Oryza sativa Japonica Group: one gene and its partner. The protein of the gene in region 2 interacts with the protein of the main gene of each other region in a pairwise test. Links are inferred from orthologs where the notes say so. Each region holds a gene or a part of one and is shown on either strand. Other genes may lie near its edges.

The links.
Region 1: the proteins of ethylene-responsive transcription factor 12 (region 2) and LOB domain-containing protein 4 interact in binary tests that used the Arabidopsis thaliana proteins (3 or more experiments, as listed by UniProt). The link is inferred for Oryza sativa Japonica Group from reciprocal best matches to the Arabidopsis thaliana genes ERF12 and LBD4.

The regions. Positions count from the first base shown.
Region 1 is NC_089037.1:26,708,862-26,713,343, forward strand, and holds LOB domain-containing protein 4, read left to right. Parts: upstream 1-1,620; 5' UTR 1,621-1,841; coding exon 1,842-2,102; intron 2,103-3,503; coding exon 3,504-3,887; 3' UTR 3,888-4,272; downstream 4,273-4,482.
Region 2 is NC_089039.1:24,542,143-24,545,222, forward strand, and holds ethylene-responsive transcription factor 12, read right to left. Parts: upstream 1,642-3,080; 5' UTR 1,574-1,641; coding exon 1,004-1,573; 3' UTR 785-1,003; downstream 1-784.

The DNA of each region.
Region 1 (4,482 bases), on a different chromosome or scaffold from region 2:
TACAGCCTTACGGTTTTCCTTCTTTTTTGAGACACACCCTTTGACAGTAACAGTTAAAAGAGCAATTGGATGCAGCACTGCACTGTAGTTGTCCTGGTTATCCATTTTATTTTTAAGCTACTATTTACATTTACAAGTATGTAAATTTTAATAAATCAGACTCATATAATTAGAAATAGACTGAGAGCCCATACTTAACGAGTCATACCATATAATTAGGGAGAAATGGTGGTTACTTTTCACGTATGGACGCGCTGTGTGTGTTGGGATGACAGGATGAAAGGAGAATGATTCTGTTTTTAGGACAGTAGAGATATCCTGCAATAGTGAAAGATGCACAAACTTTTATCTGGAGGTCCTCAACTATGGAAGGATCCACATGAGCTTAGCTGTTTAGCCAAATCTCTGCTGATTCATATGCACCATTTCTGTACACACGCAGCACAGTAGCAAAGGTGCCGTGCAAAGTGTCCAAAATATAATCACCACCTGATATGTGTGCCCGCCGACTCGCATTGATCACTTGCCGACCCAGCTTTCTTTAGAACCAAGCAAGCAACACAAGGGGTCGCGAGAACGAACAAAAAGTGAAAAAAAAAAAAGAAAAGAAGCTCATCACTACTCGCAGAGAGAAGCAACAATGGGATTACTGAGTACTGACATGGATTAGCCGTGTCTCCCCAAAGAGAAAAAAAGTTAGACGAGGTTAATCAAGTGGCCATCGATCACCACGGTCTCTCTCTTTCTCTCGCTCAGCGATGATGCTCTTGGTCCGGACCAAAATACAGCAGCAGCAGCAGCAGTACAAAGCTCTGACGCTCGGGTCCCACATCCGTCAGACCATCCGTCCGTCCGTCCAAGATTCAGGAGACGAAGCCCATCCGTTGGATGGACCAAAAGATGCCGCGGTCGATGCATATGTAAGGATGCAGATGCAGGCAGCATGCTGTCGTCGACCGACCCGATCGATCGATCGATCTGTCTCTACTGCAGCACGACATCGCCGTCTCACAGGGCACTGGAAATGATGGGTCGCCTGCCTGACCTCTCTACACAAATCTTAAGCCTAGAGACAGACACTGATATAATAATAAATAGAGATTGACCGGGATTTTGGTGCTGTTTGTTAATGGTGACCATCCGACAAAATGCTCTATCACCGTCCTCTGCGTCCTCGCTCTGCACCGACTGATTCACCACACTTCACGTTCCACCTCACCGGAGGGTAAATACAGCAATCACCGTTCCACACATTTCGTACAATTTTGCTTGTACAAAAGCTGATCAATTTCGTGCTCAAATTAATAGTACAAACCCAGCCGAAAAGCGCTCACAAAGCCAAACAAACACTCAATGTAGCAGCAGCAGCAGCAGCAATCAGCATGAGTGCCCACCATTGCTTTTTTTTTTTTTTGGTGCCGTCTTCTCCGTGTTGTTCGTGGCACAACAGGACATGATCGATCGGTCAAAGGGTGAGGGGAGAACGAGACGACGGTGCATAAAAATCAAATGGAATGGAAGCGAGAAGGGAGAGAGGAGAGGAGCATGCATGCATCGTTACTCCAGTACGCTGCGTACAGCGGCCGGCCGCGCCACGATCTCGCTGTCTGCTGCTGCTGCTTCCAACTGCTCTCTGCTCTGCTCTGCTTCTGCTCCTCTCTTCCTCTCTAAAAAGCGTCGCCCCAACCAACCTGCCCCGTCCTAGCTAAAGCCATAGCAGTAGGCGGGCTACGCATCATCTCCCGATTTGGCAACACCCATATTGCTGCAGTGCAGTTGCAGTTGTTGCGGTTGCAGTGCAAGAGGGAGAAGAGGAGTTTCTTGGTGAGGGAGAGGGAGAGATGAGGGACGTGGTGGTGGCGGTTGGCGGCGGGACGAAGGCGGCGAGCAGGCAGCAGGGGCAGGGCGGGGTGACGTTGGCGGCGGCGGCGGCGGGGTCGGGGTCGGGGTCGGCGGCGTCGCCATGCGCGGCGTGCAAGCTGCTGCGGCGGCGGTGCGCGGCGGGGTGCGTGTTCGCGCCCTACTTCCCGCCGGGCGAGCCGCACAAGTTCGCCAACGTCCACAAGGTCTTCGGCGCCAGCAATGTCAGCAAGCTCCTCCAGGTATACCGCACGATCGCTGCTTCTTCTCTCAATCTATCGTCTTCTCTCCCTAGCTGCCATGCCATGACATGCCTTGCCTTGCCTCCTCGTGTCGTGTGTACGCACGTCTCACGAGCCCTCAATTCCCTCTGTTTCCGTCTACAATCTCTGTACCGCCTTCTTTCTCTGTATCATCGCGCTCATGCACACACAGACACAGTCGAGTTACTACCAGTTCTTGGATCTTTTTTTCCTTTTCAGTTCCGTGCCAATTCATTAGAAAGATGTGATGTTTCTTGCCATTGTTTAGCCCACAGTTTGTCAAATGTGTAGTAGTGCACAAAATTGATATCTTGTTTCGCCAGAAATGGATTGCTTATTTTTAACATATATGGTTAAGAAAGTTTCCCCGGGCCATAACGACGATGCTAGTACTAGGGATAATATTGGTTTAGTGGTTTCGTTTGATTACGGTGTTTTCCCAACATGTAGCCTGCAATTCTCAGGAAAAAAAAATTGAACGAAGGCCTGATAATCTCAGAATGATATACTGTATTAGATGGTGTAATAGTAGATTCTGAATACACCGAGATTTTGACAAATTCGGCAACTATATTTTCTGTTTACTAGCAGCCAGCCTAAATTCATTTCCTGGGTATGCCAAGTTCAGAATTGAACTTTCAGAATTTTGCACTTGTTCTTCAGTTTTCACCGTGAGTGGCACATGTACTGGGCATGTGCATCAAAATAAACATGGCAAAGATCCTACTTTCACTGCCCACTGGGTCCTCATCCATGCAGCAACCCAAAGCATTTCTTATGTGCTAAAGATCACCTAGCCAAAGAAAAGAAAAAGAAAAGATTGCTTTTTTTTTTGTGAGCAAGTTCGAGTACTGCAGTGTGTTGTAGTACTAATTAAATCGACAGAGACCTCAGCATAGTGATCTCCAAACTGAACCCTCCCCCATGTGTCGAGCCGCCTGAAACAGTAGCCCATCAGTGGTGGTATACGGCCTCGTCCTCACAGTCTCAGCAGCCTTGGGCAGTCACCTTCACACAAGGCTCGCACATGCTGCGTAAAAAGAAAAAGAAAAAAAGCTTTCGGCTGCACCAAACATGCAAAAATGTCCCTAAAAATCCTTCCTTCCATTCCCTTTTCTTGGAACCAGAGAGACACCCCCAAATCGCCACCATCTTTTCTCAATTTCTTCTCCTTGGCCCTAGCCTCCTAGTAGCCTTGTCACAATGTCACTGGCTCACTGTGTGTGTGCTTGCACGATTGTCAGGTGGGAATGGACGTTTCTTCTACCTTGTCATGTACTGGTGCCTGCACAAAACCAGATCATTCAGATGTGACTTGACTGAAACTCTGCTGCTATGACAATCATATGTCTGAAACTTTGGGATTGTGGTGGAATGCAGGAGATACCGGTGCAGCACAGGGGGGACGCCGTGAGCAGCCTGGTGTACGAGGCGAACGCGCGGGTGAGGGACCCGATCTACGGCTGCGTCGGCGCCATCTCGTCGCTGCAGCAGCAGGTGGAGGCGCTGCAGGCGCAGCTGGCGCTGGCGCAGGCGGAGATGGTCAGGCTGAGGATGAGCAACGACTACATCGGCCGCCGCCTCCGGGCGCGCGGCTGCGGCGGCGGCGGCGGAGGCGGAGGCGGGAGCACCACCACCACCACCGGCTCGCCGTCGTCCATGTCGTCGCCGGCCAAGACGGCGGAGCCGGAGCCGCTCTGCAAGCCCACGCCGGAGCTGGACATGGTGGTGGACCAGCCGGACTTCGGCTTCTGGTCCTACTAGGGCTTTGATCAAGGTAGTACTACTAGCTGATTGTAGCTGTGATGATGATCAGGTGATGTTTTTGGAGTTAAGTGACAGATGGTATGGTATGGTATGGTATAGTAGTAGTTCATAGTAGAGTCAAGCGAGTAAAGTATATGGCAATGTGTGCGCAGTAGCAGCGTGACACTGGGAGGGAGGTGAACATAGGCAGAGAGGCCTCCTCCTAAACCTTCTTCTACTGGGATATATCAGGGGCTTTTTTTTTGGCTGTCCTTCTATGAGAAGGTAGAACACTGTTACAGACATTGGGTGTGCATTCACTGAGTTGTGTTATCCATTGCAAGAAACTTTGTTGCTCGTGACAATTTACTTGGTTGAAATAGCTGAACTATGCTGTGGGAAATGCAGATGGTGCTATCTATGTTTGTACAAATGTTCTTTGATTCTGGGCTTGTTTTATGACATGTGACCCATTAGCAGAGATGTAAAATGCTTTAGTTTGATTAAGTAGATATCAGACTAATATTGCAACTTAAGGTTGCCATGAGGCTTAAATACTTTCACGATTGTATCTGCAATTTTACAAGGCTGGCTCCCATGGATACTATGGGCA
Region 2 (3,080 bases):
CAAGGAGACATTAGCCACGTCTGTTGATAGGTGATTAAAACCATAGTTATCTAAATGGATCAAATGTTGGGCACAGTCTGTAGCGGACGCATTGTTTGTTTTATGTTTTTGTTTATAAATAAAATTATAAAATTTAAAACTTTATTTTAGAGTTGATTTTATAGATTTTTTATCATAAGTTATTTTACAATATCTAATTTAAAATCTAAGGACACATGGAGTAGTTAATAAGCTGTGCGCATAACTACAGAAGCATAATCGAACGTGTGTACTAGTAATACTACAGGAAACGACAATCGAGACAGGGTGGACTCGCGAGCCATTTTGTGATGGGACTTTTAAGCAGATGGTCAAGTCAGTGAGGCCGGGAGCTCGGGACGCCGGGTGTGCCATTCATCTCGAGTTGAATGTCTTTTTACAAACCCTAGTTTAGAGTTTAAACAGTTAAGTAAATTAAGGCTGCATTGATATCAATTGATACTGTTAATTTTTTGAAACCCCATTGATACTGTTAATTTTCACTAACGGGGCTTGCATTGATAGCACTAGTAGTTTAGAGCGTTAAGTATATTTGATTTACTGATCAATATGTATAACTGAAATCTTTCTTATAATACCAGTACTAGTATTTTACATGAATTAAAATTTTGTAGTACTAGCTTTTGACCAACCAAATGTTCCGAACCAACCGCTCACTCGCCCCACAACCACCATCACCATGCAAGTTCTCAGGTCAGTAATAGTACTAACCTCGAGTGAGAAAACCGTCTTATACTACAGAAGAGATGAAAAGCTGTACGCTAAAAAGTTCTTAAAATGGAAACAAGAACAGGGGCAATGTGAGAACGCTAAACTTTCCTTAAATAGTAGTACGTATGTACACAGCCGGACCAGTGCTCTCCACTCCCACATTAATCGGTTACCCCTATCTACTAGTGATCTCTAAGCTTGATCCTTGGTCCTAGTACTACCCAGTGATGCTCTACTCACGTACGTGTCGAGATCACGAGCCGAACAGCAGCGCCGGCGGCGGCTCGTTGAGGTCGAACGGGAGCTCGCCGGCGCTCGGCCCCGTCCGGAGCTCCAGCGTCGTCGACGGCAGCGACGCGGCGACGTGCGCCGCGACATGGCCAGCCGCCGCCGGCGCCATCGCCTGCACCCTCGCCGGGAAGTAGACATAGTGCCACGGCGAAGGGTGGCTGATGTCGAGCCCGCCGAAGTGACCAGGGCCCTGCGGCGGCCGCGGCGGGTGCATGCGGTGGTGAAGCTGCGGCAGCTGGGCGTGGCTGTGGCCATGGCCGTGCCCGCCGACGCCACCACCACCGCTGCTGCCGCTGCCGAAGTTGGTCCGCGCCTTGACGCCGCGGAGCGCGACGGCGGCGCGGTCGTAGGCGAGCGCGGCCTCGACGGGCGTGTCGTAGGTGCCGAGCCACACCCGCGTCTTCTTCCACGGGTCCCGGATCTCCGCCGCGTACCGGCCCCACGGCCGCTTCCTCACCCCGCGGTAGTGCGCCTCCGCTCGCCCACCTCCCACTACTCCACCGCCTCCTCCCGCTCCCATGTCCAGCTCCATTCGCCTCCACGAGCGAGAGCCTGTGCTTGCGCTGTGCCTTGACGGACGGATCGGCAGCTGCCACTGCCAGCGACAAGCAAGTCTCAGCGACCCTTTATACGGGAGCCAAATCTATAGTGGCTCGCTACTACTACTAGCGCGCGGTGGCCGCTCGCTCTCGCGTCGGCTTTGCGTTTGCGCGCGCCTCGTGAAATGGGGAGATGGTGGTAGTACTAGTACTAGTAGGAGTAGGTGTCTGCCGCTCTGGGGCCTGCTGCGTTTTGGGGGGTTTGAGGCTGTCGCTGACCAGCGCGGCGCGGTGTCCGTCTCGGCCTCGGCCATCAAGCCCCAGCCGCCGCGCGATTTGACGCCCCGAATGGTCTAATCGCCGTGACGCCAGCCCTACCACCACCCCCAACGCCCTATCCGTCCTGCACGCCCTACCCCCCCTGCACACTGACCGCACGGGCCCTCCACCTCCTCCATACCTCTCCCCTGTCCGTTACGTCGTGTTGACGCGGCGGACTAGCCTACCAAGGGTGAAAGCGAGATACAGTACGGCCCAGGGGACGTGACCGGGCCCGTGACGAGTGCGTACGTACGTTTACTAGTACTCCTCCTACGTCCCGACGTGCCAGCGGCAGCAGGCGGATGGAAGGAAGGGAAGAAGGAAAGCAACCGCGGCGGAGGTAACGTGTGGGGTTGGCGTTTCGGCGTAGGGGGGGCGACGTGCCGTGGCACGATTCGGCCCCCGGGGTCGGGTTCACGTGGGCGAGGAGGTCCAGGAGCCGTGTCGTGGCGCGGGGGGCAGGCAGGCAGGCAGCACCGCGGTTTGCCGACGCGTGCGGCGCGGCGCCGCTCAACAGTAGCAGTCGCCGCGGCGCGCCCCGGTGGGTGGGTGGCCTATCCGGCACGGCGTTGTCCGCGCGCACGCCGTTCGGTGGGTGGGTAGCCAGCCGCTTGTCACGCTCCAAATTACTCCTCGTCCGGAGTAGATTCGCAGCGCCGCGGGCAGCAGTAGCTATCTCGCGCCTACCCGACGATGGATCGGCTCGACCCGTCCAAATCTCGTGGGGAATTGAATGTGGGAAAAAATACTTTGGGGAAGAGACGGGCATGGCATGGCCGCAGCTAGCTAGGCTGCCGCGGCAGGAGCAGCAGCAGCGGGAGGAAGGGAAGGGAGAGAAGGGGGGGGCCTTGGGAACGCGCGAGGCTTGACTGCCTTCTGCTGGGTGGGACAGCGGGAGGACCTGTCGAGCGCTGATGGTGCAGCGCAGCGAGCGGCGACGACCCCTGCCTTGGGAAGAGGCGTACCATTGATGAAAGGCCAAAGGCGTTGGCACAGTGCGTGCGTGTGTACTGTATAGGGTAGCCATGCCCATGCTGTTTTGGATGGACCGGCTAGACCGGTAGTACTGCTCCAGCCCGGCCGGCCGGCCGGCCGGCCTCTTTATTATTCCATGCATTTCTTTGTGATGCTCCCTGTCAGTGCAGCATTTTATTTTACCCTCGCCTTTTCAAATGAAGA